Linked DNA regions of Yarrowia lipolytica. The protein of the gene in region 1 interacts with the protein of each later gene in a pairwise test. Links are inferred from orthologs where the notes say so. Each region holds a gene or a part of one and is shown in the gene's direction. Other genes may lie near its edges. The genes, in order: YALI1_E39676g, YALI1_A03356g and YALI1_D27762g.

Region 1 (9,950 bases):
CCTGGTCGTGGACAACAGCGTGTCGCTGAGAGAAGGTACCTCGCTCGACATCCTGACCGGAAAGTCGGACGTGGTGGCCCTCCTCAAGCAGAGTACCGAAGGCAAGAGCCTCACCAGTGGACCAGTCAATGCCATGGCCCTCCTCAACGGACTTGCCTCGGTTGGACAAGATTCGCTTGAGGTTTCGGTGAAGGGTGAATCCCTCCGGAACAGAGGAGATGACCTTTCCAATCTCCTTGAGCTTCTTCTCCTCAACAGATGTGGGGAGATGGGGCAGGATCTCGGTGGCAAGCTCCTTGGGGGTCTTGAAGTCGTCCCAAGGAGAAGCGAGCCACTCCTTCTGATGGGGCACGTAGTCCTTGGACTTCTTGAAAGACTCCTCGAGCATTCCCCAGACCCACTGCTTGTGCTCCTCAATGTCCTCCTTGGTAAAAGTCTTCTCCTTGAGAAGCTTGTCGACATAGATGTCAAGAGGGTTGGGCTTGTCGGCAATCTTCTTGTACATGAGAGGCTGAGTGAACGAGGGCTGATCGGTCTCGTTGTGACCGAACTTTCGGTAGCAGACAAGATCGATGATGACATCGGACTTGAAGGTAGCTCGCCAGTCAGCAGCCAGGTTGAAGATGAAGTCGACGGCCTCCATATCGTCAGCGTTGACGTGGAAGATGGGGGCATCGATGGATTTAGCCAGATCGGAGGGGTAGGGGGTAGATCGGGAGAATCGAGGATCGGTGGTGAAACCAATCTGGTTGTTAACGATGATGTGGATGGTTCCACCGGTAGAGTAGGCAGGCAGAGAGTGCATGCCCATGGTCTCGTAGACAACACCCTGGCCGGCAAAGGCAGCGTCACCGTGCATGAGCACACCCATGGCCTTGTCGAAGGTGCCGACGTCATGCTTCATGTGCTGGATAGCTCGGGTCTTACCCAGGACAACGGGGTCCTCAGCCTCAAGATGTGAGGGGTTAGCGACAAGAGAGAGGTTGACCTTCTTTCCAGAGGGGGTGGGTCGCTGGTAGTTGGCACCCAGATGGTACTTGACATCTCCAGAACCCTCGTCGAAGACAGCAGATCCCTGGAACTCAGCGAAAATGGACTCGTTGGGCTTTCGCACAACGTTGGAAAGCATGTTGAGTCGACCTCGATGGGGCATACCGATAACAATGTCCTCGATTCCGGCATCGACGGATCGGTCGATCAGAGTCTTCATACCGACAACGACAGTCTCGGCACCCTCAAGACCGAATCGCTTGTCGTTGGGGAACTTGGAGGCAAGGAAGGTCTCGAAGAGGTTAGCCCAGATAAGTCGGTCGAGCATTCGTCGCTTCTGGTCAGGGGTGTAGTTGTAAGGCTTGGGGGTCTCGACTCGGTCTCGGATCCACTCACACTCCTCTCGAGAGGGAATATGGATGTACTCAACACCGTAGGAGCCACAGTAGATTCGTTCACAGTCCATGATAATCTCACGGAGAGTTCGCCTGTTCTTACCGTTCTCGACGAATCGGGGGAGGATACCGGGGCCGAGAGTGATCTCGGTGTCGAGATCCTTGTCGGTCCATCCGTAGAACTCGAGGGTCAGCTCCTTAGGGGGCTTCTTGTTCTTGTCGGAGCCAAAGGAGATTCCAAGAGGATCAATCTTGGCCTTGGTGTGACCTCGGACCTGGTAGGCTCGAACCAGCAGCTGGGCCTTCATGTGGTTGGTGATGTCAGAAGGAGCGCCGGAGGGGGCAGCGGGGGTGGGAACACCTCCAGAGGGAGAGGGCACAATAGTGGGAGGGGCAGAGAATGCCTTGTCGGCAGGAAGGCCACCATCCAGGTTCTTGAAGTAAGACTGAGTTAGTATAGGTCAATTGCGGCCGTGCTTCTGGTTGATACATTTGCTGGGTAGGTTTAGTTGGGATTTAGTTAAGTCAGGGAGGCCTAAATTAAGGTGCAGTTGGGACTTGCTGGGGCAGGAGTTAGAGATAAACACCAAGCATGTGCAAAAAGTAATGAAACTAAAATCCAAAAAGCCCAGGAATGGACAATTGAGGAATAGTCAGGTGGGGTATGTCAAAAACACGTCCAGAACCTTTACTAATCACACACGCCGGGATCTCTCTCGGCGCATACACCTGTTAGTCCGTTCCGACCAACAATTCTGCGTCCTGCATGCACGTTTTTCCATGCTCCGGCTCAACCCGTAACTCCCAATGCGGGAAGACACCCTGAGTCTAGTGGTGGCAACCGCAAACGAAGGGCAGGTCTAGTGTGCAGAGATGCAGAGGTACTGAGCCAATCGAGAGACATACAAATTGCTACAGGCAGGCGCAGAAAAATGCAACAGCAGGTCTCTCAATTGTGCTAGCTAGTGCATTCTGGAGCAAGGAGGAAGGGGTCAACCATTCGTAGGTGTCGTGTCAACAAAACGACTTATCTGTACACTCTCACTGTATCCGTGATACAGTTCGGTTGCAAATAAGCCACTTGCCTCCATGACCTTGGGCCCAACTCCATCACTTCACACGCCAAGTGTCGAATGTCCACCAAAACAACCAAAAATAACCATCACAAGTCGTAGTACAAGCCATCAGCTTCCGATTCCTCCACTATCACTCACCTGCCAAGAGACGTGGACACTCTTGGGGTCGTCCTTCCATGCGGCATACATCTCATCGATGTAGTTTGCGGCGTTGGTGGTAAGGAAGACGTCATCAGAGTACTTTCGTTTCTGGATCAATGGCACGAAGGCCTTGCGACTTGTGAGTCGCGGGAGGACGGGGGTCCTTTTCAATAAAGCGTGTCTGAGCATCTATTTGTTAGCGGGATTTAATCATGGGTTCCAGACCCTCTCAAATCGAAACAAACGAATCGCAAGCGATTTTTTCCATCAATTCCACTCCAGCGGCCACAAATGTCGTAATTGGCCGTCTCCGCAGGTATCGTTTCGACCGTAAGTACACCCATTGTACTACTCACGTTAACTCGTTATGGGGTAAGTTGTGGAGAGCGTCAAATATTTATATAAACCGGAAGAACCGGCCCCAGTTTTACAGTTTCTTGTGAAACTCTATTTTTCCAGCGGCCAGCACCCGGGATAACTCTGCAGAATTTTCCGGACCAGACCCGTTGAGCGCTGTGAGGGCATAGCTGTCTAACTGACCCCTCTAGCCTTCTCCCGAGCCCCACTTGGCGATATTCCGACGGTTTCCGCCGACTTTGCTTCACTCCCTGTTATGCAATGGCAGTGTGTCTCCTTCAAACATGGTAACAAGGTTGCGCCCATAACTATACTATAGAGCAAGTTGCGGAGATAGCCATTGGCCAGCTTTGTGTATTTCAGGTGGTTTAGGAAGAGTACCAACGCGTGTGCGATGGGAAAGATAACGCCCACGGTGTGGATTGTGTTACCAGGTGCTACCCCACAGTTGTGCAATGCAATTGTGCGGCGAAGGATTATCTTGTACAAGTGTATTGCAGCACGGCTTTGTATCATGGGATGTAACGGCACGCAGCATGGAAGCGCAGCGGTGTTCTCTTTGGCCCGACCAGTAAGGACAATGTAAGATATGTAAGTTGAGATGTGGGAGTTTCTGGTCACGTGATGCGGAGAAGTTCGGAACTATGCAGTCTATGCCCCAACCAGAGGCTTGGCTACAGCTAAAAGGGAATATTAAAACTCGTCCAGGCTGTAAGGGGGGGCGGTTAGGTGGAGTATCGTCGGGTTTTTGGGACTCTTCTACGGTGAAATCTGTATCCCATCCTGTAGTTGCTATTCCGAGGTTTGCTATAGTGCGAAGAGAGTAATACGTGATTTTGAGACAGACTCGTTAGAAGAGAACTATGATCACCCGTGGACAGATGACACGTACATGCAAGATAGCTTTGAGGATAGAATTTCGGAAAGATGCGGGGGGACCAGTTGACGACAAACTACACCCAACGATCTTTTAGCCACAAGTAGACGGTGGCATTAGCTACATATTCTACGGGGGGGGAGCAATTGACCTGTCCCCCTGCTATTTTCACACTACAGTACGTTGCTATAAGTTTTTTATAGCGTTACTACGAGTACATACTGCAGCGGAGATAACGGCAGTAATTTTGTTCGTATTTTAAATGAGCACTGCACAACTGGACCAAGTACTTGTAGGAGATCCGAAAATATCCCTCAAACGGACGTTATCCCCTCGGAAACAATTTCTCCAAAAAACTTACCGTCATTAGTCAACAGTATTTCCGGTTGTTATTATTGTTATTTACCCCAGATGTCAGAAATTCAACATTTCAAACACACTATTTTCGACTCCTTATTACCCGATTTCAGTTAACAGCTGTCTGTGCTTCGATAGAAACTCTCTTCGGCTCTGAGGCTCTGAATAGCACACTTCCATCATGTACGATCACATTCGAAACTCGTGTCTGAAAGCATATTACCCTAACCCTTGACATACAGCGAGCCTGTCTGTCTGGGACGTGATAGTTTTAGATCTTGTTGCCCCCCAACTACTTGTACTTCAACAACCCCTAGTCCAAGTATCTAAAAAAACACACAATGGACGAAGACTCCCCCGCCCCCTCTCTCCAGAACATCATTGACCAGGACTCTCTCCGATGGATCTTTGTCGGTGGTAAGGGAGGTGTTGGTAAGACCACCACCTCCTGTTCCCTTGCCATCCAGCTGGCCAAGAACCGAGAGTCCGTTCTGCTCATCTCCACTGATCCCGCACACAACCTTTCTGACGCCTTTGGCCAGAAGTTCGGCAAGGACGCCCGACCTGTGAATGGTATCGACAACCTGCACTGCATGGAGATTGACCCCAGTGGGTCCATTCAGGAGATGATCGAGCAGGCCCAGAGCGCAGGAGGCGCTGGAGCCGGCATGACTAACATGATGCAGGACATTGCCTTCTCTATCCCCGGTGTTGACGAGGCCATGTCCTTTGCCGAGGTCCTCAAGCAGGTCAAGAGCACATCCTACTCCGTCATCATCTTCGATACTGCTCCCACCGGCCACACTCTGCGATTCCTGACCTTCCCCACCGTTCTGGAGAAGGCTCTGGGCAAGATCTCCGAGCTTTCCGGCCGATTTGGCCCCATGCTTGGCTCTCTGATGGGAGGCCAGGGGGGTCCCTCTGCTGACGACATGTTCGCAAAGCTCAACGAGACCCGAGCCACCATCTCTGAGGTCAACACCCAGTTCAAGAACCCCGACCTCACCACCTTTGTGTGTGTTTGCATTCCCGAGTTCCTGTCTCTGTACGAGACAGAGCGAATGGTCCAGGACCTGACCTCTTTTGACATTGACACCCACAACATTGTCGTCAACCAGCTGCTGTACCCCAAGAAGGGAGACGACTGCGAGCTCTGCTCCTCTCGATACAAGATGCAGCAGAAGTACCTGGAGCAGATTCTCGATCTGTACGAGGACTTCCACATTGTGCGACTTCCTCAGCAGACCCAGGAGGTTCGAGGAGTCCAGGCCCTTGAGAAGTTCAGCAACCTGCTTGTTCACCCTTACCAGCATATCGAGAACTAGAGCGTGAGGAATTGAGGGAATGTCATAGTTCCACTGGTGGTGTAATTACTGTAAGTAGTGGTAGATTAATAAAGATTTACAGATTGGGCTTGCATTGTAACCTCTGAGGTGTGTCACGTGGATTAAGAGTACAAGTACGCGTATGTACTGTTACAAGGGGGGTGGTGGAGGTGGAGGCGTGTGTATACGGAGGATGGTCACGTGACTGTCGTCGATCGGGTTTTTGTGGCGTTGCACATAAAAGAACCTCATGTTATTTCCGGCGTGAATTTAACGAGTATTCAATGCCCATGTCGTTTAACGTGCAGAATAGAATTTTGGTGGGGTTGGTGGGATATCTTGAACACAACATATCACTGTCTGAAATCGGATGAAAACGAGCCAGAGAAGCCGGAGACATACCCGAACCACTCACGAAGCGTTCAGATTCGTATACTACTTGTCAAATCCCCAAATATCACATTTACTAATCCCCTACTTGTACACACACCCCTTTGCTCCATTAATAGACACTTCAGAGTTCAGATTCATGCAGGGTGTGAATGTGAATGAGCCGAGGTGAGATCGGAGTGTGTCATATAGAGTGGTAGAGAATTCTGCTAGCGAAGAAGTAGTTACTCGAATCAATTCTGACAGCTCTCATGACTACAGCGCAGTCAAAACTTTTACTCCTAATCACATACCTTTCCTCAATCCTAAGATTACTCTCCATGCGTGATCCTGCCAACTGCTACGTGTAACAACCTTGAGACGCGTCAGGTAGTGGCTCGATACTTCCAAGAGAGGGCCAACCAGAGAATAAACGAGTGAAATTTCAAACAGAATAAAAGAATGGCTCGATACGAGCTCACATACACGAAACGAGCCCACAACCCTGAAACGAACCTCCCCACACCTCTCCACATACACGTTTGCACCGTAACTCACCACCACTTAACTTCTCCACGTCAACCCTATATCACCATGTAGCTACCTGTAGAGTTTAGCCAACTTTTGCAGTGTCTGACGCTCTCCATCCCTCAATCATGTCGAAAGAAAAGAACTGGAAAGGCACCACGCCGACCACCAAGTCGGACGCCCTCAACAAGCCGGGCACTTCTCTGCTCAGCGTCAACGGCAAGTATGTTGGCTGGGCCCACACCATTGTCGCCATGTCTGCATTTCTGGGAGCCCTCATCATCGGCTGCGCTCTGCACTACAAGAAGATTGTCCAGAACGAGCACTTTGGCTACCCCGACGAGTGGTTCCCCAGTGTTTCAGCGGCCATTGGTGACCGATACCCCGAGCGATCTGTGTTCCAGGTCTTCATTGCCATCACTTCTGGCCCTCGATTTGCCCTTGTCATTCTCTGGTTCCTGCTGACTGTCGCTCACCGACCCCGTCTCTCCATGATGATCCTCATCTCCGGTCTGATGCGAACCCTTACTTGTGGCGGTTGGACCTATGTCACCTCCACCGACGACCACGACTGGCACGACATCTTCATGATCTCCTACATGGTTCTGACCATCCCCTGGACCGTGGGATGCACTCTTTGCACTCGAGACGCCAATGCTCGAAAGTGGAGAAAGATCGTCGCTACCTGCTTCTTCGGATCAATCCCCCCCCTCATCTACTTCTTCATCCAGCACAAGGTCCACCATATTGCCGGTGCCTACACCACCTACGCCTTCCTGGAGTGGGCCCTCGTCATCTTCGACGTGATGTTTGACGCCGTCACCGTTCTTGACTTCTCTGCTCTGGAGCTTAAGGTTATCGATGCCAAGGGAGTCACCGCCGTGACCGAGCCCAAGAAGGTCCTGGCCACCGCTGGCTTCAACTTCTTCCGATTCTCAATCGACGTTGCCAACGCTACCATTTTCTGGTCTGTGCTCACCGCCCTGCCCCTGCTTATCTGGTACTTCCCCCTGTGGTTCATGGGCATCTCCGGCTACGAGGCTCTACTGGTTTCCATCTGCGCACCCGTCATCCTCTACATTTCTCCCCTCCGAAAGTTCTTCAACCTCGTCCCCCAGCTGCCCCTGCTGCTCGGTGTCACCGGAATTGCTGCGTGGTGGATTCCCGGTCCTATCCCTCGACTCGAGGCTGTTGGCTTCGGCGCTGGTTTCTGCTGCATCGCCATGGCTAACACCTTTGCCAACTCTGCCTCTCGACCTCTGCTCGGCACCTACAAGGGATCTGCCTTCATCCTGGGTCTGATCATCACCTCTCTTCTCAAGTTTGCCCACTGGACCAACAACCCCATCTGGCCCATCATGCACGAGGCTAACGGAGGCTGGAATACCGCCGGTGTCATCGTGGGCGTCGCGGCTGCCCTCCTGGTGTCCAAGCCCCAGAAGAACTCTGCCCAGGTTCCCGTCCATCCCTCAGAGACCTCCATTGGCGCCGCTTTCGGTGTCGGTGGTATCATCTTCGCCCTGCACTCTCTACTCTCCGATACCTCAACCATCATTCTCTGGGTATGGGACGGCTACCCCGTTAAGGGTCCCGTTCCCGTTCCGTACGGAGTTGTCACCATCCTGGCCATGTGCCTCGGTGTCTGGCTCGGAACAAAGAAGCTTGCCAATGGCTGGATCCCCTTCCTGGCTTCTTGCGTCGGAACAACTATCCTGTACAGTTTCCACGGATGGATCGGGTACGCTGGAGGTCTCACCCTGACCGTCTACCTGTGTGCAGTGGCTCCCGCTTTCCTTGAGAACCTCGGCCGATACAACTCCGGTACCTGGGGTCTCGCCATGCTCGTAACCACGCTGCTGTACCTGGCCCATGTCTGGATCGTTGCCTATGCCTTTGTTCCCGGAGGACCTGCTCTCCGAGAACGAACCGACTACGTTCTCATTGCCCAGCAGCTCTCCATTGGTCTCGGTGTACTTGCCCAGTCCAAGATCAGCAACACCAAGAACAACACCAAGTCCAACGCTTCCACAGACGCTTCTCTGCTGAAGAAGATCCGAGCCCACGTTATGCTAGCTATCATCTTCATTGCCACTGCCACCGTTGCTGTCGGCTACAAGCGATTCGACCAGCCTGCCCCTGTTCCTTACCACCCCGAGGAGAAGCTCATGACGGCTGGTATCTGGACTGTCCACTTTGGTCTCGATAACGACATGTGGGCCTCCGAGGTGCGAATGCGGAACGTCATTGAGGAGCTTGAGGTTGACGTGATTGGTTTCCTCGAGTCCGACACCCAGCGTGTCATTATGGGTAACCGAGATCTCGGCCAGCGAATCGCTGAGGAGCTCGGCTACTACTACGACTTTGGCCCCGGACCCAACAAGCATACTTGGGGCTGCTGCTTGCTCTCCAAGTTCCCCATTGTTAAGTCTACTCACCATCTGCTTCCCTCTCCCGTCGGTGAGCTGGCCCCTGCCATCCATGCTACTCTGGACGTGTACGGTGAGCTTGTTGACGTTGTTGTCTTCCACTCTGGACAGGAGGAGGATGTTGAGGATCGACGACTGCAGTCTCTCGGCATCTCCGAGATCATGAAGTCCGCTCCCGAGGGTCGACCTCTGATTCTGCTGTCCTATCTGGTCACCAAGCCTCTGCAGGACAACTACCTCACCTATGTTGATGCCTCTGGCATGACCGATATCGATCCTTCCGACTGGGACCGATGGTGCGAGTACATTCTGTACAAGAACATCAAGCGAACCGGCTACGCTCGAATCTCTCGAGGAACCATCACTGATACAGAGATCCAGCTTGGTAAGTTTGTTCTTGACGACAAGACTCCCTCAACCAACAACCGAATCCAGGACGAGAACCAGGTTCCCGCTGGCCGACGATTCCCCGATCTGTTCCGAGGCCAGGGTGTCCGTGGCCATCGATTCCATGTCCTTGACGAGCCTGAGACTGGCAGCGGCTCTCCCCGATACTTTGAGTAAGAAAGTATGGAATAGATAAAATAAGGGAATATACCCACTGTTCAATAAATGATATGATATATTTATGAGCGGGTAGCTAATAGTTGTAGTTCTGTATTCTAGAGTGCTAGACTATAACTATAGTATGTACTTCTACGTAGCTACCTGTACAGTGCGAGCACTTGTACATGTTGTCACTACAGTTGGACACGCTGATAAGCAAATTTAAGACCTTTGTTCGTATTGCCTTTGTCAAGTACAAGTAGCTAACATATCGTAGGAGTCGCCACCCACTAAAAGAAACCTACGGACAACACATGTGGTGGCTTTAGTTGACAGTTTCCTGTCTTTTGTTTGTTTGTATTGGCCTCAAAATCAATACAAGTACCAGTATGTATCAGTCATGTTGTCATATTTATGCCTTGGTAATTCTGACCTGCATGTTTCTTGCTATGCTTGTTTGGAGTGTGTTGGAAGACACCAACTGAGCTGCGATTGAGGTCACGTGATTATAAATGCTCTAACAAAATTGGACGATCGGAATAGGCTAATTCAGGACTAAATAT
Region 2 (11,067 bases), on another chromosome or scaffold:
AATTTGGGAAGGCAGATATTTCCACTACACCACCGCCCGAATGGTGGGGTCCCAGAGTTGTATCGACTATAAGACAGTGGAAATGATCAAATATCCGGCGAAAAAGGCTAGAAAAAAGAGATAAAAACTGTGTAAAGGGGTAAAATCAGTAATATACAGTACTATGTAAAGAATTATTCATAGTTTTTTTGTCTCCAATGAATCATCTCAGCCTCCAACTGGAATACTCAACAAGGAATAAACATCTCTAAAATTGATACCAAAATAACCACAAAAAATGTGACATTTCAATGAACAAATTCCCATCACGCATTTTCTTCAAAAATTCGACCCTTGATCTCCTTCTCCGCTCCCGCCATTTCATCTTTTCAATTTCCCTTATCTCCTATCTCCGATACGAGAACCTTATTTGCTTCCATCCTTCAAGCTTATTAATCATCTCCCAGCAAGCTTATTTTGTCCCGTCACGTGAGAGTGAAATTTTACGGTTCCCAAATCATCACCGCGACATCAAAAACCATTCAACACACAACACAAACATCTCCACACAATGAGACCCTCGTTTGTGACCCAGCTGCTGCGACCATGGAAGAAGGACCGTTCCGGGTACATGTTCAACCTGTTCTACGGTGTGTCGAAAAACGGTAACAAGCGACTGCCCCTTACCTCCAAGCAGGGTAACAAGAACTTCTACAAGGGCCATGGAGCCGGTGGAGTCGGTAAGACCACTTCCAAGGGTCGATTCATTATCAACCGAGACAAGGTCCGAACTTTTGTCGTTCCTGCCGGTCTGGAGGCTTGTGAGCTCAAGCCGTTTGTGTCCCCCACCCTGGAGCCCATCAAGAACTCTTTCCGAGGCTTCTCGGGTCCCCTCGACCCCAAGCTCACCGTCAAGAAGGTGAACGAGTATGTCAAGTCCGGCCCTGTTGCCGAGGAGGATGCCCCCGATCGAAAGAACTGGATCGATCGAGAGTAAGAGACGTGTCGGTACGTGACACACAAACCTGAAGGATGAGCGACTGGACACGAGTCGAAACCAGAGGAGGCGAAAATTGTATATATTGAGCATGATTCATGATGATTGAGAACGGTGGGAGTTAGTAGTTGATGTAGGTCGGTGTAGTGATAGTCAACGTGACGGTGGTGGTAAGTATTAGATGGTGTACTTAGGAGTAGAGTGGTTTGTTTCATCGAACTTATTCCAAAAGACAGAACTTGTTGTATGTGTACATTTGTCTTTCAATCGCTTGTTTTCTACATCTAGAGTCTGGTTTTGTTTTTCGAGAAATTGGCTAAAAACTGAAATACTGTCCAGTTCCACGCAGAATAGATACAATACAGTTGGATTTGATTTATTATATTTTTCGAACGTCGAATCTTCAATTCGATGGGGCACCACACACTTCTGTTCATAGGCCAATTGTAGCTGATCCACAGGCCCCATTCGGCTGAGCACTAAGCCCATGTGTTGCGATCTAGAGTGACACTATACATTATGATCCATGTTCATGTCACGTGCGGCGGAAAGCGAAAGCGCGAAACCTGCTAACAATGTCGCTCCACACGTGTCTCGATAACTCGATAACTGGTCCTTGTCATCGTATTTGTTGCACCTCTCTTAGGCGTAGTACCTGGGTTAGCTCATTCTCGCTTCTCACTCACCCTTCGTCTCCTCTCGTACTCACAGTTCCAGGTTTGATCCGTTGTGGATCTCGTAGTCATCCAGAGTGATATGGTCCTTGAAGGTCTGGTATCCCTTCTTGAGCACAATCTTCTCGGGAGCAGTTCCGATCTGGGCTGCCAGCAGCTTCTTGAAGTCGCCAATAGTGTCTTCAGGTAGACACTTGACCCGCACCTTCTTGCCCACACTGTGTTAGACATGTTGGTAGATCAGGAAAAATAGATACTCACCGATCGTTGCAAGTGATTTCAATCATTTCTGGGTTCCTGAATGTTGGATGGGAATATTTGCAACTTCTCTGATGTCCATGCACGGAGATAGTCCAGTATAGTTAAGCTTTTAAATTCGTTAATATGTTTTTATGGAGTGTTAGGGGGGTGTCAAGTAGAGGGTCATTAGATCCCCTTGAAGTACGAGTACTGTGCTCGTGGTTGTATCATTAAAATGCACTTTTCGACACAAAACAGTCTTTTCCGGCTATATTCCGACTTTTCCCGCCATTTCTGGCTTCCCATAAAATGCTTTCTATCGGATCATATTCAGCCAACTCGATGCTCCAAACTTTGTAAAACTATCTCAGTATGTACAGTACACTACATACAACAATATACACTAGGCAAGCCACCTCCCCATATCACATCATTGATACCATTGCATACCATTCGCACCACTCATACCACTGAGCATTCCACGTGATCATCTCATGAACAGCAAGTTTGCCACGGTCTCATCGATACACTGAACACCAGCCCTTCTGATACCTCCACCACCAGCCGGCACTTGTGGAGACACAAACCCGGACCCACCTCACGTCGCGCGCCAGAATGAGTCTGTTTGTTCTTGCTCTCATTTACTGCGTTACGTTTATTCTCCTCTGTTTCTGGTGTTTCTGGTGATCTCCAGCGTTCACCTGCCACCTTTTTGTCCTCACCTGACAAGATATACCCATCCCGCACACAATACCAAAACACAGTCTGGCAGCTACAACAATACCTCTTCTTTTCAACAACACTTTCAGTGCTCTTCACTGGGTGGAGAAGGATACGCCGAGGATATATGATACCCACCAACAATCGGCTTCGACCAGGCATGGGGAAAAACATCATTCTCTGCCTGGATGGCACGTCCAACAGTTTCGGAGCAGGTCCCGAAACCAACGTCCTCAAGCTGTTCCGCATGCTCGAAAAGGACTCACCCAACCAATTGGTTTATTACCAGCCCGGAATCGGAACCCACATCACCGTCGACCTGCCCAAAACCATCTGGTCAGCAGCATACTCATACGCAGAAAAAATTGTCGACATTGGAATAGCCTGGTCCCTTGATGCACACATTATTGCCGCCTACATGTTCTTGATGAAACACCATTGCCATGGCGACCGGATATACCTGTACGGCTTCTCAAGAGGTGCCTTCACCGCTCGAATCCTCGCAGGTATGCTGGACCGAGTCGGATTATTGTCTCCAGGCCAGAACGAACTGGTACCTTGCGCGTGGGAAATCTACAAGACGTGGGAAGCAGCTGGTCAGCCTATGGAAGACAAGACGTCCAACCTGGCATGCTCTTTCAAGTCGACATTCAGTGTCCCTTCTGTGTGCGTCTACTTCATGGGTTTGTGGGACTCCATCAACAGCAGTGGCATTATTCTGGACCGCTCGTTCCCCTACACCTCTTCGGCGGGTATCGTTCACCACATTCGACATGCTGTCGGCATTGATGAACGACGAGCCAAGTTTAAACAGAACCTCTTTGTCCCTCATTGCTACAACCCAACACTTTTTGGTCCTTCCGGCATATTTGCCGAGCGTCAGAGCCCTGAACTGACTCCTGAGGCAAGCCCACAGACCAGTATTGTTTCCAGTGTCCGCGTCAGCCCTGTTGAGAGTCGGCAGCATACACCCAAAGGATCGATGGTCATACTGAGACACCCTACTTCTCCTGTCCCTATCAGTGCGAGCACACCGGTTCTTGCAAGTGGGTCATCAATTCGAACCACGGCTTCAGGACGTCGATTTCCTTGCAGCAGCCGTTCAGAACTGTCCCACATGTTCCGTGCTCACTCTGAACAATCTCATATGATTGGGACACAGAAAACACGCCATAGACCGGAGCGATCAGGAGATCTCGTGGAGTTGTGGTTCCCAGGTGACCATGGTGACGTAGGGGGAGGATGGTTACCTCGAGGGTCACCACATTTGCTCTCTGACATTCCTCTGGCGTGGATTCTCTCCGAGAGCGTCAAGTTTAAGGTGATCTTTAAGGAGGGAGTGATTGACGAATTTCGAAACAACCATGATCCCGAAGAGTGTCTTATTGCACCCATGCACGACTCTCTAAATCTCTTTCGACGTCAGGGAGAAAACGGTCGTGGAGAAGATCCTTGGTGGAGACCGTGGTTCTGGTGGTTTCTTGAAACCATGCCGGTCGCTTACCGGGTTGAGAACGAGGAAGAGAAATGGACAAGGGTTGCAGTTCCCAATTACGGTCGGGCACGGACCATTCCTATGGGTGCCAAATTTCATTGGAGTGTGGCTTGGAGAATGAGGTTGGTTGACGGATATCGTCCGTTTGATCGTTCAGAGGATGATGACGGTTCCAGTGTGACTGGCGGTGGAAGTAGCAGTGACGAATACGGTGCTATTCCCGATGACTTTGACTGTCATGATGGTTGCTAGGATGTAGTTTTATATCCTGTAGTATTTATATTTCTTGTGTCAATTTACTTGTACTGGGTACTGTGTCAAAGTCCCCCGTAAGAATCGAACCCCCGACCGTTGGGACGCGATTAAGGTTGTCGCTTTGTATGGGGTCGGAACAAAGCAGGCAGCAATGCACTGTGAAATCAGCCAACCAAAAGCGAAACGATAATGCGGCCGAGGGAGTGCATTCAATTCGGTCAATTCGACAAACAGGAGACATCTGGCCGGTTTGATGGGATAATTGGCCGATTATTCTCGATTAAGTAAGCAAACTCGTCGAGATTTGTGCATTTTTGGCCTTGTTTGGCAACTCGTCATTTTGCCAATCCATACACCGACTGCAGCTTTAGAGATGGCCTTACCTCCCAATGGCTTTTGGAGTTCTCCCAATGGTCAAACAAATTAAGGTTTTCAGGGTAGGGGCTCGGGTGGACCAATCACAGTGGCGAAATATGCGCTGCGAGGGAGTTTTTGCAAAAGCTAACATTTGCACGTAAGGTCCCAAGTCAAGCACACACCACACTTCAACCTCTCTTGACACTCACCCTCGACTGAACAATGAGCCTGCTTCGAACCGCCGCCCAGGCCGTCAAGGCCCCCAAGGCCTACACTCCTCTTGTGGCCGCAAAGGCCTTTGCTCAGACCCGATCTGTCTCTTCACAGCCCATTGGTGGCAAGTCCACATACAAGATCCCCGACTTCACTCCTTACCTCAAGAAGGACCGAAACACAGATGCCAACCGTCTCTTCTCCTACTTCATGATTGGATCGTTTGGCATGCTCTCCGCTGCCGGCGCCAAGGCCACCGTCCAGGACTTCCTTTCCAACATGTCTGCTTCCGCTGACGTTCTGGCCATGGCCAAGGTCGAGGTCAAGCTCGGTGCCATTCCCCTCGGTAAGAACGTCATCATCAAGTGGCGAGGAAAGCCCATTTTCATCCGACACCGAACCTCCGAAGAGATTGAAGAGGCCAACGAGGTCAACGTTGCTACCCTGCGAGACCCCCAGACTGACGACGAGCGAGTGCAGAAGCCCGAGTGGCTGGTCATGATCGGAGTCTGCACCCATCTGGGTTGTGTGCCCATTGGTGAGGCTGGAGACTTTGGCGGCTGGTTCTGCCCCTGCCACGGATCCCATTACGACATTTCCGGCCGAATCCGACGAGGCCCCGCTCCTCTCAACCTCGAGATTCCCGAGTACGACTTTGCTGACGCCGAGACTCTGGTCATTGGTTAAGGGATATAAAAGTGCATGCACGAGAGTGTAATAAATTTATAATCGAACGACTGACAGGCCAGTGCGATCCACGAGTCTGGCCGGTGACACGAGCACCATGTAGATAACACGACGACAAATGACGGTGACAAGAGCATGGGCGGAGTTTGACTGATGGAGGATGTAGATCTGGATTTCCGCTGGGATGTCAGTATGAAATGCTGAAATTCTACCGAGTGTCCTCGTTATCGTGTGGTATCTGCTATATCTGCAAAGGCCATGCTGGTGTGTTGTGGTTATCGTGTGTGGAGTGTAGATGTTGGGTTTCGCTGTTACCATGTGAATGTGGTAGAGGGATCGCTGATAAAAGTATATAAGGGGATGCTAAGTTGCACAATCGTCCATCTCATTTTCTTCACATTATCGAGATTCCGTCTCTACCACCATGACCGCCATCGCCACCATCTTAAAGTCCCATTCCTGACATCACCCATGACCTGCTGATTCAGAGTTGCGTCTCAAGAACCATTGGTCACTGGGAGGTTGTCTGACCAAATAAAGTTGCGGAACAACACAACATGGGAGGAAAAACACGAGAGGAGCTGAGCGGGACGTCGTTCGAGAGGACAGGAGCGTTGACTTATCTGTTTGGAACGGTTGTGAATGTTGTCTGCATCGCAGTTTTAGTCTTCCAGTCCAGTGTCTTTCTCAATGACGTCATCGTCTCGTCCATCCGGCTGCAAACATAGGGGGTAATCCATGTTCGGCTATCAAGATTAGGACGTTGGGCTTGTCACATTAGAAGCAACTTAATTTGACTGGGAAATGGAGTGACAAAATAAAATGAAGTTAGAGGAGGCAGTTGGAGAGCTGGAGATGGAGCAATGAGGTGAGACCGAAAGACGAAAGACGGAAGAAAAAAAGAAAAAAACAGAATGACGAAATGAGAAGAAAAGTTATATTTCCAATCTTTCTTGAATTGATTCTTGGCGGTAATCGTCGTAAATTCATCGCTCTCATCGGTTGCCTCACATTACACACTCTGAATGGGTTCACTATGTTCAGTCAATGAACCCCAACTGAGTAAGTGCAGACTTTGAAGATGCTTGCAACGGCTTCCTCCAGTTCTTTGAACCAACCGCGGAAGGAAGATGTTCTTCGTGCGTTTACAGTACTTGTACTTTTCAGCACCTCTCTAAAAGTACATCATACTGTTTTTTGTTTTTTTCTGCATCCAAACGTCCAATAGGCCTAAGTAATTACATAGTTTACTTGGAATCAGACCAACTAAAAAAACTCCATTTACTTCACCAGAAACAAGACTGGCTGGAAGAGAAGTATCGTATATTGTGAAGACAGCAAGACTCACTTGAAAACCGATGCTTGTGAGAACAGGCAAAACGCGAGTAATAACATGTACGTACCGTAAAAACATCCCTGATACCTCGCACGGTTCCATCACGTTCACACCCAACGCACCAAAACACCTACACTTGCACCCATCTACATCCCCATATCAAATGCCAATATTAATGTATATATACCGGGTTCCCATTCCATCCTTTTACGTGCGAGTGAACACCTCTACACCCCTAATCAATCTCAATGGCCACAGCAGAGCCCTCCACAGAGTCCTCAGGAACAGGGGTGCTGGTGGCTGTGCTTGCTCTCACCGGCGTAGAAGTTCCAGTGCCGGCATTGGATCCTGCCGATGCCCCGGCGCCGCTGGGCTTGAAGAAGTTGGTTAGCGAAATGTTGCCTGTAGGCTCCTTGGGCACCTGGACCCCTCGAGACTGAAGTGATCGCGCAGGAATGGTTCTGGGGATGATGTCCTGCAGAAACTCGAGCTTGGGGTTCTTAGCTATCGCCTCGGCCACGTCCTTGTACGCCAACGTCTTTCGCTGGTCCATTCGAGCCATGAGACCAGCCTGTTCCGACAGGTACCGCACAAAGTCCTGGGTGGCCGCGTTGATGGCGGCATAGGCGGCCACAGACACGAGCGACACGTCATCGTCCTGGTTGACGATTCGCTTGGTTCTTGCTAGAGGCAGCTTGATGTTTGGAGTCTTGTCGGCGGCAGTTGTTGGTGTTTCTGTGGACGCTCCGGATTCTTTGATTTGCGCGTTGTTTTCTTCTTCCTGGGCCTCGTGAGTGTCCACGGTCTCCTCCACGGTCTCCTCCACGGTCTCCTCCACGGTCTCCACCTCCTCGCTATCTCTCATTTCCACGTCCTGGCTCATCTTCGTAATGTTCGTATTAGTTGGAACTGATGCGTTTGGCTTTATGGCTGATCGTGCTGCATGACGTGTTGGCGTAGGTAATCACGTACAGTTGGGAATCGAAATTGATTTTCCAAATGTCTTCAATAGGTGGGAGATCTAATATCTATATATATTCGGGAAACGTGTTTGTGTAACTTGTATCTGCCCCAGCACACGACCAATGTCGTGATTTCTCAATCTGCAAATATATAAACAGCTCCATTATTCCCACTTTTATTTTTGTTCTACTTTACACTCTTACTTGCAGTCTCACTCAATCTCTACGTTTCAGCCACCACATCAAAGTTCATGCATAGACAACTATCAATCTACAAGTTCGACTATCACGGCCAAAATGACCAGAAGGTGAGTACCATGCGCACAAAACGGCTCACCCGACTCAAGCTAACATAGACGTTCGGTGAACATCTCGGACGTGACGGAGGTCAGAAGATATGAGGACTTCTCGACCATCGACTGGGTAGATGTGGCTGCCAGAGAAAACATGCTGCGATGCCTGACGATTGAAAAGTTCCGACCGGCGTCCCGAGTCGCAGCAGGGTCAAGCGACACCCGAGGACGAATTCGACACAAGCTCTATGAGGTCTACACGGCAGCTCAATCATGGCTGGTACTGGCCCTCATCGGTATGGCTATCGGAGCTATAGCAGCCGTGCTCAACATTTCGACCGAGTGGCTCGCCGACCTCAAAACGGGCTACTGCTCTACAGGATTCTATCTGAATGAAGACTTTTGCTGCTGGGGCACCGAGGGAGACCACTGTCCGGCATGGCAGTCCTGGACTGGCTTTGGACTGCTCAATTACTTTGTCTATGTGGGATTTGCTGCCGGATTTGCCGCCCTGGCGGCCTTCCTCGTCAAGACCTACGCACCTTACGCTGCTGGCTCAGGCATTTCAGAAATCAAGTGCATTGTTGCTGGTTTCGTCATGCAGGGTTTTCTAGGCCCCTGGACCTTGCTGCTCAAGTCAATTGGCCTTCCTCTGGCCATTGCGTCTGGTCTGTCCGTCGGAAAAGAGGGGCCCAGTGTCCACTACGCCGTTTGTGCCGGCCACGTGATTGCCTCGCTCTTTGGACGGTACCGAAACTCCAAATCGAAAATGAGAGAAATATACTCGGCCTGTACGGCTGCAGGTGTGGCTGTGGCGTTTGGCTCGCCTATTGGAGGCGTGCTATTCTCTCTCGAAGAAATCACCAGCAACTTCCAGATGAAAACCATGTGGCGATCGTACTTTTGTGCTCTGGTAGCCACAGGTGTGCTGGCAGCGTTCAACCCCTTCCGAACTGGCCAGCTCGTCATGTTCCAGGTCAAGTACGACCGGGACTGGCACTTTTTCGAAATCTTCTTCTTCTCCATCATTGGAGTCTTTGGAGGTATGTACGGAATCTTTGTCAGCAAATGGAACCTGAGAGTCCAGTCGTTCCGAAAGCGATACCTCGGCAAGTACGCAGTCAAGGAAGCTACTCTCTTAGCGTCCCTGACCGCTCTAATCTGCTACTCCAACGAGTTTTTGCGCCTTGATATGACTGCTGCTATGGAAAACCTGTTCCACGAATGTGAGAATGGATGGGAGAAGTACCACGATCTCTGCCAGCCCGACCGACAGGGTTTGACCATGCTGCTATCTCTCCTGGCTGCCTGCGTCATCCGAACATTCCTGGTTATTATCTCATACGGCTGCAAGGTGCCTGCTGGTATCTTTGTGCCCTCCATGGCCGTTGGAGCTACCTTTGGACGACTGATTGGAAACATTGTACAGTACTGGCAGCAGGCACGGCCCGACTCTATCATTTTCAGCCAATGTGTCGTTGACCAGCCTTGCATCACTCCTGGCGCGTACGCCTTCCTTGGTGCTGCCGCTGCATTGTCTGGAATCACCAACATTTTCGTGACCGTCGTGGTCATCATGTTTGAGCTCACTGGTGCGTTGACATACATTCTGCCTACCATGATTGTTGTTGGAATCACCAAGGCTATCTCTGATCGGTTTGGCAAGGGAGGTATCGCTGACCAGATGATTTGGTTCAACGGCTTCCCATTCATTGACAATAAGGAGGAGCATGCCTTCAACGCACCCGTCTCAAAGGCAATGCAGAAAAATGCCGTCTACTTCACCTACGACAGCATCACTCTCAAGGAGGTCGAGACTCTGCTCGAATCGAACCCCTTCCAGGGCTACCCGGTGGTTGAATCCAGCAAGGAGGACCCTCCCATGCTAGTGGGATACATTGCCAAGGAGGAGATTGTTCGGTTGATTGCAAAGTTCAAGGCTCTGAACCGCGACATTCATTCATCGGAGCTCGGACAGGTCCAATGCTACTTTGGAGAGATTCCCGAGTCTGCTAGACAGTCATCGCAAGCATTCATCGACATGAGACCAAGTATCAACACATGCCCGCTGACAGTGGCACCACTAGCTCCGCTTGAAAACGTGACGTCAATCTTCCTGCAGATGGGCCCTAAGGTGGTGTTGGTAGTCAAGGAAGGACGTTTGGTGGGTCTTATCTCCCGAAAGGATGTGCTCAAATATCAATTCATCACTGAACGACAACACAATCACCACACTCGACTGCAAACACAACAGTACAATGAGCAGCTCGAAGAACGAGTATGGAAGCTGCTCAATCAGGCAGGAGACTACATTAACCACGGTCTCGCAAAGATCAAGGGATACGTCCTGAGGAGGTAATTAGAGCGAACTTCCACACAAAATTTAATGACGATATGATGACGTATAGACAGAATGGATAAGTACAAGGAAGAACTTGTACTCGTAACTTGTAGCTAAATTGAAACAAAAGGGACTATCTATGTACATACTCTACGTAGGATGGAAACTACGTGACAGTTTCTACAAATACAAGGGAGGGGGTATCACAATACAAATGGAGAGGCGTAACGTCGAACAGGGAGAAGCATTCAAACATGAAACAAGTCGCTAAAGATTCGTTTGGCTGTCAAAAAGTCGCTCTGTTTTCTTCGGTGTTGCGCTCATGGACTGAAAGGAAAAAGACATGTGACAAGGCGGGGATCTCGGAGGCCTCTCGTGGTTTGTGTTCTCGTAAATCTTGCTTGCTCGCAAAAGGTCGCAATCTACTGGGTCGCTCCAGCAGGGGTCGGCTGCTCGTCGGGTAAAAATCATTGGTGATACATTTTTGGGCGTAAACTATTTCATCGTAAGAAAAGGAG
Region 3 (9,763 bases), on another chromosome or scaffold:
TAGCGGTGAGTAGAGAAGACCAACAGTTCAGTAGACAAAAAAACCGCCCTTGAATTGTCACTTTTGGCGCTTCCTGCCCACATTGTCCCCCACAATTTCCCCCCCTACTTACCTCTTCCAAGTTGACATCCCCAGAACAGCATAAACTGCAGTTTGGTCGAGTAGTCCAAAATTTATGGTCGGTACTGGTGAGGGAGAGTCCTAACTGTCAAGATGGTACATAAACCCGAGTGTTTTCCGAGTGGAGGATTCCCAAAATTTCCCTTTCGAGTCTACCATGTCTTCCGTCTCTTCCGAATGCCAGGGCCTGTCCTCCATTTCCGAAGCCTCTTTTTCCGAGGCCTCTTCCTCCAAGCCCGTCTATGTCTCCACCGCTTGCGGTTCTGACGATCCCATTACTGCCGACGACCTCTTTGGCGAGCCCCAGTCTGTCCCGATCTCTCCAAGTGAGTTGTTTATGAGCAGCTCTTCTAACCAAAGTCCTAACAACGACTTTGAAGAAGAGGCACCCAAAAGCTCCACCTCTCGATATGCTCTCCCAGACGAGTCTCCTAATGGCTATCAGACCCAGTCGACCTTCAACTCGTTTGTGAACCTGTTTCGCCTCAAGAAGGATCCGCCGACAACTCTGCCACTGGCGTCTCTGACAAGTACGAGGGGTCATAGGATGGACACTCCAAGTCCAACGCCTCCAGAGGTAGCCAGACTGAGAGCCGTGCCCCACTCATCGACTTACTCGTCTGAGTCGTCGCTCAACTCATCAACAACCCGGATCTCATCCTCCAGGTCCTCCGATGACGCCTCCACAGTCGATGGAAAGACCACACGCGCTACCCAGACGGACCAGATCTACGCGGGAGACTCGGGAATCATTCTCTCGACTTCCATAACATCTTCCCAGAGCTCTCAAGAACACTTTCGAGAACGATGTCGACGGTCTAACTGTGTCACATATATTGTCCAGTGGGACACAGAGAACGACCCCAGGTACCCATTCAACTGGCCCAACTACAAAAAGTACCTGGTTGTTGCTTCCCAGGCCCTATCTGCTATTGGCCCGCAAATGTGCAGCTCCATGTACGGACCAGCCGTTGCAAAGATCGAAGAGATGTTTGGAGTCGGTAAAGATGTCGCCATGCTCAGTACCACCGTCTACATGATGGGTATTGCTGTTGGGCCCATGTTCTGCGCGCCCATGACCGAGTCATTTGGCCGGAAGATTGGCGTCTTCTGGCCCTTCTTCGTCTCGCTCATCTTCACCTTTCTGACCGTCTCCGTCACCTCCTTCCCCACCTTTATGGTACTGCGATTCCTCTCTGGAGCTCTGTCTTCGCCTCCCATCCTGTCGTCCGGAGGAGCTCTCAAGGATATGTTCAAGCCCGAGCGACGGCCGTACGTGTTGCTTCTGTACGCCATTATTGTCGCTGGCGGCCCAGCCATGGGTCCCATTCTCGGCTCTCAGGTCATCAAGTGGACCGGCGACTTCAGACACTTGTCGCTCGTGGCCGGTATCTACCAACTCATCATTTGCACCTCCAACCTCATCTTCATGCCCGAGACTTACGCCCCTGTGATTCTGCAAAAGATTGTGCGGAACTTCAGTCTGGATGCCGGCGGACTGAGAAACCTGGTGACAGAACGAGACCTCGGAGGCCATGCCCGTGGTTTCTCAGTCAAGAACCTGTTGAGACCCTACCAAATCATGCTCACCCCGGTCATGCTGCCGCTGCAGATGTACGCCGCCATGATGTTCGGACTCATGTACATGGCCATCTCGCTGGTGCCCAACGCAGTCGTCAAGGAACACAACTGGACCCGAGACCGAGCGGCCTGGATCAACCTCAACTTCATTGCCGGCCTCATATGCGCCTCTGGAGGTATCGTCTGGTCAATCTGGTACTTCAACCGGATGCTCAAGAAGCACGGAGGAAGCAATAAGGAGCCCGAAAAGCGGCTCCTGATCATGCTGCCGGGGTCCCTGTTCCCTCCTATTGGATGCTTTCTGTGTTACTTCTTCTTTGACAAGACCTGGGCAATTTCGGTCGTGCTGCTTCTGTTCCTCGGTATCGGATTCTTCACCATTTTCCAGTCCACCCTCAACTACGTTGTTGACATCCACTCGGAGTACTCGGCCTCAGCTGTGTCTGCTCTGACGTTTCTGCGGTCCATTTTCGCCGGCGTCTTGCCATTTATCGGCATGGCGGCCATCGAGCGGGTCTCTTTTGCCAAGCTGTGTTTCATTCTGGGCTTCATCACGACCGCAATGTGCGCTGTGCCGTGGTTCATTTTCAAATGGGGGCCTGGCCTGCGAGCGAGATCTGCTTTTGTTGACGTTTAGTGTCCAGCTAAGTAGATGTCAAGTGTAAGACGAAGACTGGTCAGAAAGAGACAGACGTTCTAACAAAACCCAACAAAAAACAACAAACATTAATCAACTGTGAAAATCCGCATAGAAACCAGCATAATCAACATAAAACATATAGCCCCAAATCAAATCAAATAGAATACTACTAGTAATACACTGTGAATTGTATTCTGGCTTGTAATATTACAAGAGAGAATAAATATACACCACTACGGTGTATATCAGTGAAGCAACATGTCTGAATAACTACGAGTAGTAGCACTGGTGGCTTGCATGGTGCTTGGATATCTAGATGGCCCTACGACACCAATTGTGCTTCCAGAGGACCGAAACTCCGGAAATCAATTGCAAAGAATCCTATAAACATTGTGCAAAAATCTGATGAAAAAAAAGTTCCTCTAAGCTGGTCGGTCCTCATCCCTCTTTCTCACCCCACGCCATCTGCATGCAGAGTAAATAGTGCAGAACCTCCGAAACACATCACACCATTCATCTCGCTCAATATTCCACCGATACGAATAAAAATTACACCATTAGAATTCTCAGAGATCCACCATGACATTGATACCCCCATACAAGTCATTACTCTGTTAATCACCCCCACACAGTCCGTCGTCTCTCGCAACTCTATCCCCATCTAACTCTTGACATCTCTTCATCTCCTAGCACCTTCCGAAGGCTTCAGCACCACCACACCATGAAGCGTGCTTTCGGTAGATTGAGCCCCCCTCTGCGTCATCTGACACAACCCCGCACCATGGCCACCACCGCGCGAACCACCACGCCTCTCAATCTCCAGATCGGCTGTTTGCAGCTCAAGCCCGAGATCGGGGAAGTCGACAAGAACATGGGAGTGGCCAACGAGCTCATCGACCGGTACTACGCCACTGCCAAGAAGGACGATAAGACCCCCAAGATTGATATCTTGATGCTCCCCGAAATGTCATTCACAGGTTACAACTTCGAGAGCCCCGAGAACCTCAAGCCATTCCGAGAAGAAACGGAGTCGTCCAAGTCGATCGAATGGGCTAGAGAGTGCGCCAAGAAGATCGACGGCCACGTGCTGGTCGGATACCCCGAGTTTAGCCCTCAAGACGATGCGACCTACAACTCTGTGTCCATGGTGTCTCCCAAGGGTGATATCCTCTTCACCTACCGAAAGTCGTTCCTGTACACCGCCGACGAGGCAATGGGCATGAGCGAGTCTCCCGACGGCTTCCAGACATACGGACCCTTCCCTTCTCTGTCTCAGGACATCCCTCTCAAGTTCCAGGTGGGAATTTGCATGGATATCAACCCCTACAAGTTTGAGTCTGCTCCTTCGGAGTACGAGTTTGGCAATTCAGTCAAGAAGAACAAGGTGCCTCTGGTGCTGCTCCCAATGGCCTGGACTCACTCCAAGTCTCCCTCCCTAGTGCCTGTCAAGTCCTCCGACAAGATCCCTATGACTGAGGAGCAGGAGAAGACCCACAGCGAGCTCCGAAACGCCATTGTGCATAAGTGCACCATGCTGCACGGCAAGTCCACCTTTGATGGACTCATCACCGAGCCCAAGGAGATCCCCAAGTACAAGAACGAGGATCTGGCCACTTTCCACGACTACACTGCCGATGTCGACAACAAACTGCCTTTGGTGGACACCCTGCAGTACTGGATCGAGCGTCTGCAGCCCGTGTGGAACCAGAACACGGACGTGGACTTCCCGGTGACCATGGTGACTGCCAACAGAGTTGGATTCGAGCAGGGAGACGTCCTGTACGCTGGCTCGTCCATGTGCGCGGTTATGGATCCTCTTCAGCAGAAGATTTTTCTGCGGGGAGCTCTCTCAGCCGCTGATGAGGGTCTCATGGTGTTCAATGTTGATTTGAGCGTTCCCAACTAACAGCCTTAATGACTGTCAGTGAGTGAGATGTGTGTTCAGGATGTGTTGCAACAACACACCATCTATGTATATATGATATTTTTTTGTTTCAAAGACGTGTAGCCGGGTGGCTTGGCTCTTTGCATATATTTTCTCCTCTTTTCCAGCAGTTTTTATTCTGAATCGACTTTTGACGTTGCTCAAAGAGCTAACATTCCTCAGAGGAATTCACATTCATACTGTGACTCAACTCTATACAAGCTACTGGAAACTAAAGAGATGATGTCGAAAAAACCTGTTGAAAGTGGATTTACGACATATAGGAGAATTGATATGGTCATCTAGACACTCTATAAGCCCTTCAATCCAACAGAAACTCACTCACACACACTCTCTCTCTCTCCGAGGTCAATAGGCCAATATGACAGGTGACGAGCTAAAAACGCAACAGTCGCGAATATTGCTGCGATCGAAAAACAAACAACACCATTCGACTCACCAAAACCGCGCGAGAATTTCCATATCGACAATTGTTTCCTTGCTAGCTGCCCAGATACACGTATTATCCCACCACCGGTTTGCCCCACCAACCTAAATCCTAACACGTACGCATCAGCAGCAGTACACGCTAGACTCAACCACATCACTATACACACAAAATGGTGCTCTCTACTCTGATTATGCGGGCCTCGGATGGCCTGCCTCTGTCGGCCAGCGTGGATGACGGCCAGGAGAACCTCAGCGAGCAGAAGAAGCAGTGCAAGCTCGTGACCCAGAAGCTGTCTGCCAACTCGGCCGACCGAGCCTCGATTGAAAGTGGCAACTACGTGATCCACTATCTGATGAAGGACGGAATCGTTTACTACTGCATCTCCGAGTCTTCGTACCCCCGCAAACTCGCCTTCAGCTACCTAGACGAGCTGGATCGGGAGTTCCAAAAGTCCCATGGCCAGGAGGCTCTCAAGGAGGGGGTGCGACCCTACAAGTTTGTGGAGTTCGACACGTTCATGCAGAAGACCAAGCGGGTGTACCAGGACACTCGAGCAACCCACAACCTCGACAAGCTCAACACGGAGCTGCAGGACGTGACTCGAGTCATGACCAAGAACATTGAGGATCTGCTGCACCGAGGCCACTCGCTGGATCACATGAGCGATCTTAGCAGCAACCTGCGGACCGAGAGCAAAAAGTACCGACGGGCTGCCCAGCGGATCAATTGGGAGGCCATGATCCGACAGTACATTCCCTTCATTGGAGTGGGTCTCATTGGTCTGTTTATGCTGTGGTGGATGCTCTTTTAAACAGGGGGACGCAGATGAGTCAATCATTTGGAAGATGGATGCCATCGACGACAGCCACGCCCGGGCTGAGAAGCTGTACTGAGGCTGTCTCAGCTCGCTGTGAACGGCTCGCTGAACGGGATATTGCTGGAGAAGCTGGATTTATACGATAGTAATATATTGATTGGGTGAGTTGCTACTGGAATGATTGGGAAAGCAGTACATACTATTAACCTGAAAGCAGTACATACTATTAACCTGTCCTTGCATGTCTCAAGAGTACTGGAGCTAGTTAGCTTCTGTTTTTTTAGAAGTATACCAAGGCTTGAAAAGCGCGAGTGTCGCTCGAATGTACTGTGTGAGTACAGAAGCTGCAAGATACAATGATTGGCGTGTATCAACTTGTTTGATTCTGTAATCCTTCCACTATTATCAAGGTCTTTTCATTACTAACCAAGTACAGTATATACATTGCAATTACTGTATCGTACCTCTACTGTAACCCATCTTACTTCCATATAGCCACTTGCTCAAACTCGTTGATTTTTCTGCCGATCGCGTTCAATGTCAATATATCATCTCTTCAAGGGATATATTACCATCCGTCACGCAATCTCTCCACTCCATTCAACGGACTCCTTGGTATGCCCGCTGTCTTAATTAACTCACACCAAATACCCCAACCCCAACTCGAACACACGCCTTCCTGATTTCAAACCCTAATGTGAAATTTGAGTGTGTGGTGCTCAGCGAGGTTCTCACACATACCACAACTTTTTTCACACATTTACACGACTAAAGATGCTAGCAGTCAGCCGAGCCAGCGGATTCCGAGCAGCCCGAGTGGTTCCTGTCCACGTGACCCGACAGCAGGTACGACACAACTCCGGCGGCCTCAACTCTCTGTGGTCGTGGTTCAAGCGAAAGGACGCTTCCAAGAAGGAGGCGGCCCCTCCCGTCATCAAGACCAAGGATCTGGTCAAGAACATTGAGCAGCAGAGCAAGGCTGGCTGGGAGTCTACTGCGGCCACCGAGCAGAAGACCGAGTCCAAGGAGGAGCCCAAGTCTTTTGCTTCCGAGACCGCGGTTGATCTGGAGGTGATCGGCATGCCTGCCGAACAGCTTCCCCTAAGCTCCGAGAAGCTTGCCGAGATTGGTCTGGGCAAGTTCCAGCTCAAGCAGGCCGAAATCAAGCCCGAGGCTGCCCTTGAGGCTCTCAAGACCGTGTCTGCAGCTGTTGTTGGCGGAATGGAGGGTGCTCTTGACACTCTGGAGAAGCGTCTGGAGCTGGTCAAGCAGTTCCAGAAGGAATCTGGTATCCGAATCCCCGATCTCATCATCTCTACCGTTGCTACTCCTCAGGGCGTTGCCTCCTACCTCGAAAAGTCGCTCACCTCCAACTTCAACTACTGGGAGCCCAACGCCATTTACCTGGACGCCAAGGACTTTGAGGGCTCCAACGTGACTGTGGTGGATGCCCAGCAGCTCCGAAAGCAGCGACAGCAGGCCATGGACGATCTGGTTTCTGAGGCCGAGCAGTTTGTCGAGCAGCATGATAAGGAGACTTTCAAGAAGGCTCTGGAGTAAGAAGCGAATATCAGTGGGACACATAACATCATTCGCGTCGCCCATGATGTTGTTGGAGGGTACACTAAATGGATGGTGCTATCACCTACAGACTGAGTTATTTGAAGGAACGGTATCATAGGACACATCAGCCTGCTGATGGGAAAAGGACGAAGGATCACGCGGGATCGCAAGATGTCCACGGACAGCTGTAAATAGTGAAATTAAAATGTATATATTGACTGTTGGTACAAACACCACTCGAAGACTTGTAATGATATCAGAGATCTCCAGATACAAGTTCTTGCACCAAGGCATGGCATGCGATAAGGAATGGGATAAGAACTGGGAAAGAGCGTATGAAGAACACTATATATGATGGAGACTATACCGAGGCAACTAAAAATGACCACTTCTGGTTTGAAGCATGGAAAAGCTGCCTCGATACTTGAATGGCTCGTGGTTGGACAAGTCCTCTGAGACGGAGAATTCCAAAGAGATCTTTCCACTCTTTACCCTGCCAAAAGTGAGGATCCAGAAGTCCAGTTAGTCTATCAATAGGTTGGAATCTCTGTTGTGACCTCCTCGTAATGTCTCGATGGTCGGTGTGAACACCGTCGTCAAAGATCTCCAGGAGACAGAGAAACAAGTGCGATTCCTGGGAAACTGTGGAATGTGTAGAGTCAAGTATGAGTACTGCCGTAGAGACACATAGATGCAGAATCTATGTAGATGTTCTCACGGAGATATCTTTGGACTCAGCCGTAGTTCCCTACTGTAGAGCATGTTGAGGGCACTTGAGACGACACGATACATATTGCGATGTCGGAACGAAAGAGTTGCAACGATATACAGTAGTTGGAACGAAACGAAGAATATAGAGATTCAAAAGAACGGTATATAGAGGCTCAAAAAACCGATATATAGCTAGTAATATAATTAAAATCACATAATCACACTGTTTTTCCCCCTAGACTGGTTTACTCTTTCGAAACAGACAGAAATGACCATTCTCTCTCCCTTAAGCCCTTCTCTCTTCTCTAAGCCCTTCTCTCTTCTCTAAGCCATTTCTCTCTTCTCTAAGCCCATTCTCTCTTCTCTAAGCCATTCAATCTCCTCTAAGCCATTCAATCTCCTTAACAATACTCCTGACTAAAACCTCCACTTTTAATTGGCATCTACTGGCCTGTCCTGGACCTACCACAATTGCAACATTTACGACGCAAATGTTGAAGAGATATACGAGAATTACAGATTCGACTGAACACCAAAAAACAACAACAAAAAGAAAACAAAATCTCCATTCGTCACCTCCATCACCATTCCACTCCACAGACCAGTCTACCAGACACATTTCACCCAACCCTAACCCTATATTTACCTCTGACGCGTATCTTTTTGTGTGTCGCGAATCTTTACGAAATACGACCAACGACCGTTTCAAGCCCCCTAAAATGAAGAGCGACCAGTTAGGCCGGGTGTTATCCGACGATGGTGAGTATTACGGGTTTTATCGCAGCGACAATTCGGAAAATGGAACAAAATGGGTCTTGTTACCATGATAAAAACGTCTAAGAACAATTTCTGGGCTGAAAGTGTTCATTAGGTGGTGGTGGAGTGCTATTTCTAGACAGTGGGTGAAGACATTTGGAAGTGGATTTCTCACTATATTGAATTGGAGTGAACAAAGACAATCTGAGGCAACGGTGACAACAGTGGTTGATGATAAGGAGATGGTGTGTTGAGTGGCAAGACAAGAAGGCTAGACGTTCAGTTCCCGTTCGGCTTTGTTCAGTTTCCGTTCAGTTTTGTTCAGTTTCTCTCAGTTTCCGTTCAGTTCTGTTCACTGGACTTGACCAATGGTAACCCTTCTTCGCTGTCCTCCATGCCCAGGTCTACTCTATCATTGATTCCTCTTCCACCAGTGTTAACCTCTGGAGAATGGATCAACGTGAGGATCTCAATGACTGAATGGAAGCTAGTCCACCAGACCAAATTCGCTCGCTTTTACACCTGGCTCGACTTCACAGTTGATCCCGACTATCATCACTACCTGCAGCCACAGTCACGTCTGAGATGACAGCAAGAACCTGCTCCTTATCGTGTGCACTCTGGGGTTTTTCTTTCATTCATGTCTTGCCAACTGACTAATCCCGCGGGTGTCGCTTCTTGACGTTCTCTACTAACCCAGACCTACCCACCAAGCTCTCCATCGCCAACGAATTCAAGGCGTTCGTCAAAAAGAACAGCGTGCCCCGTGATCTCATACACCCCTACTTTCTCACACTCTCTCGAGCCATCAAGTCACGAGAAGATCCCCAACTCACCTCCGTGTGTTTCTCGTGCTTCTGCCACCTCTTCAAACGGGTCAGTATCCAGGACAAACAGCTGCTAGATGACTCAGCAACGGTAGCCGTGGTGACAGACCTACTCATTGACCGTCTTAGCGACAGATCCACGGGAGTTCGGGCCACAGCAAACAAGGTGCTTCTAGATTACTGGGTTCTCGTCCCACAAGCCGTGGCCGTAGCAATGAGGCAGAGCGCTGTCGTGAGCTCAAGCCACGTGACCCTAGGCGAGTCTCTCAAGTGGCTGCAATCCGTCTTTGATCTTTCTTCGGCCTTCAACTTTTCAGCTTTTGTTCAGCCCGTGGTGGACATGTTACGATACCCCCAATTACAGTCTTCCGTG

Evidence for each region.
Region 2: the proteins of YALI1_E39676g (region 1) and YALI1_A03356g interact in binary tests that used the Saccharomyces cerevisiae proteins (3 or more experiments, as listed by UniProt). The link is inferred for Yarrowia lipolytica from reciprocal best matches to the Saccharomyces cerevisiae genes GET3 and GEF1.
Region 3: the proteins of YALI1_E39676g (region 1) and YALI1_D27762g interact in binary tests that used the Saccharomyces cerevisiae proteins (3 or more experiments, as listed by UniProt). The link is inferred for Yarrowia lipolytica from reciprocal best matches to the Saccharomyces cerevisiae genes GET3 and SEC22.

Annotation. Positions count from the first base shown.
Region 1 is NC_090774.1:3,962,193-3,972,142, reverse strand, and holds YALI1_E39676g (uncharacterized protein), read left to right. Parts: upstream 1-4,534; coding exon 4,535-5,518; downstream 5,519-9,950. Other genes in the region: YALI1_E39693g (uncharacterized protein), read right to left, coding at 1-1,831, 2,600-2,791; YALI1_E39656g (uncharacterized protein), read left to right, coding at 6,544-9,405. UniProt on the Saccharomyces cerevisiae protein: ATPase required for the post-translational delivery of tail-anchored (TA) proteins to the endoplasmic reticulum. Recognizes and selectively binds the transmembrane domain of TA proteins in the cytosol.
Region 2 is NC_090770.1:327,311-338,377, forward strand, and holds YALI1_A03356g (uncharacterized protein), read left to right. Parts: upstream 1-8,362; coding exon 8,363-10,567; downstream 10,568-11,067. Other genes in the region: YALI1_A03278g (mitochondrial 54S ribosomal protein mL41), read left to right, coding at 551-976; YALI1_A03289g (uncharacterized protein), read right to left, coding at 1,619-1,631, 1,686-1,868, 1,912-1,937; YALI1_A03300g (uncharacterized protein), read left to right, coding at 2,738-4,357; YALI1_A03322g (uncharacterized protein), read left to right, coding at 4,940-5,617; YALI1_A03351g (uncharacterized protein), read right to left, coding at 7,189-7,836. UniProt on the Saccharomyces cerevisiae protein: Anion/proton exchange transporter involved in iron and copper cation homeostasis. Involved in intracellular iron metabolism during growth on fermentable and non fermentable carbon sources.
Region 3 is NC_090773.1:2,771,271-2,781,033, reverse strand, and holds YALI1_D27762g (uncharacterized protein), read left to right. Parts: upstream 1-4,885; coding exon 4,886-5,527; downstream 5,528-9,763. Other genes in the region: YALI1_D27808g (uncharacterized protein), read left to right, coding at 278-2,338; YALI1_D27780g (uncharacterized protein), read left to right, coding at 3,063-4,247; YALI1_D27765g (uncharacterized protein), read right to left, coding at 4,263-4,425, 4,473-4,567; YALI1_D27748g (uncharacterized protein), read left to right, coding at 6,308-7,093; YALI1_D27718g (uncharacterized protein), read left to right, coding at 8,299-8,566, 9,264-9,763. UniProt on the Saccharomyces cerevisiae protein: Nonessential SNARE involved in targeting and fusion of ER-derived transport vesicles with the Golgi complex as well as Golgi-derived retrograde transport vesicles with the ER.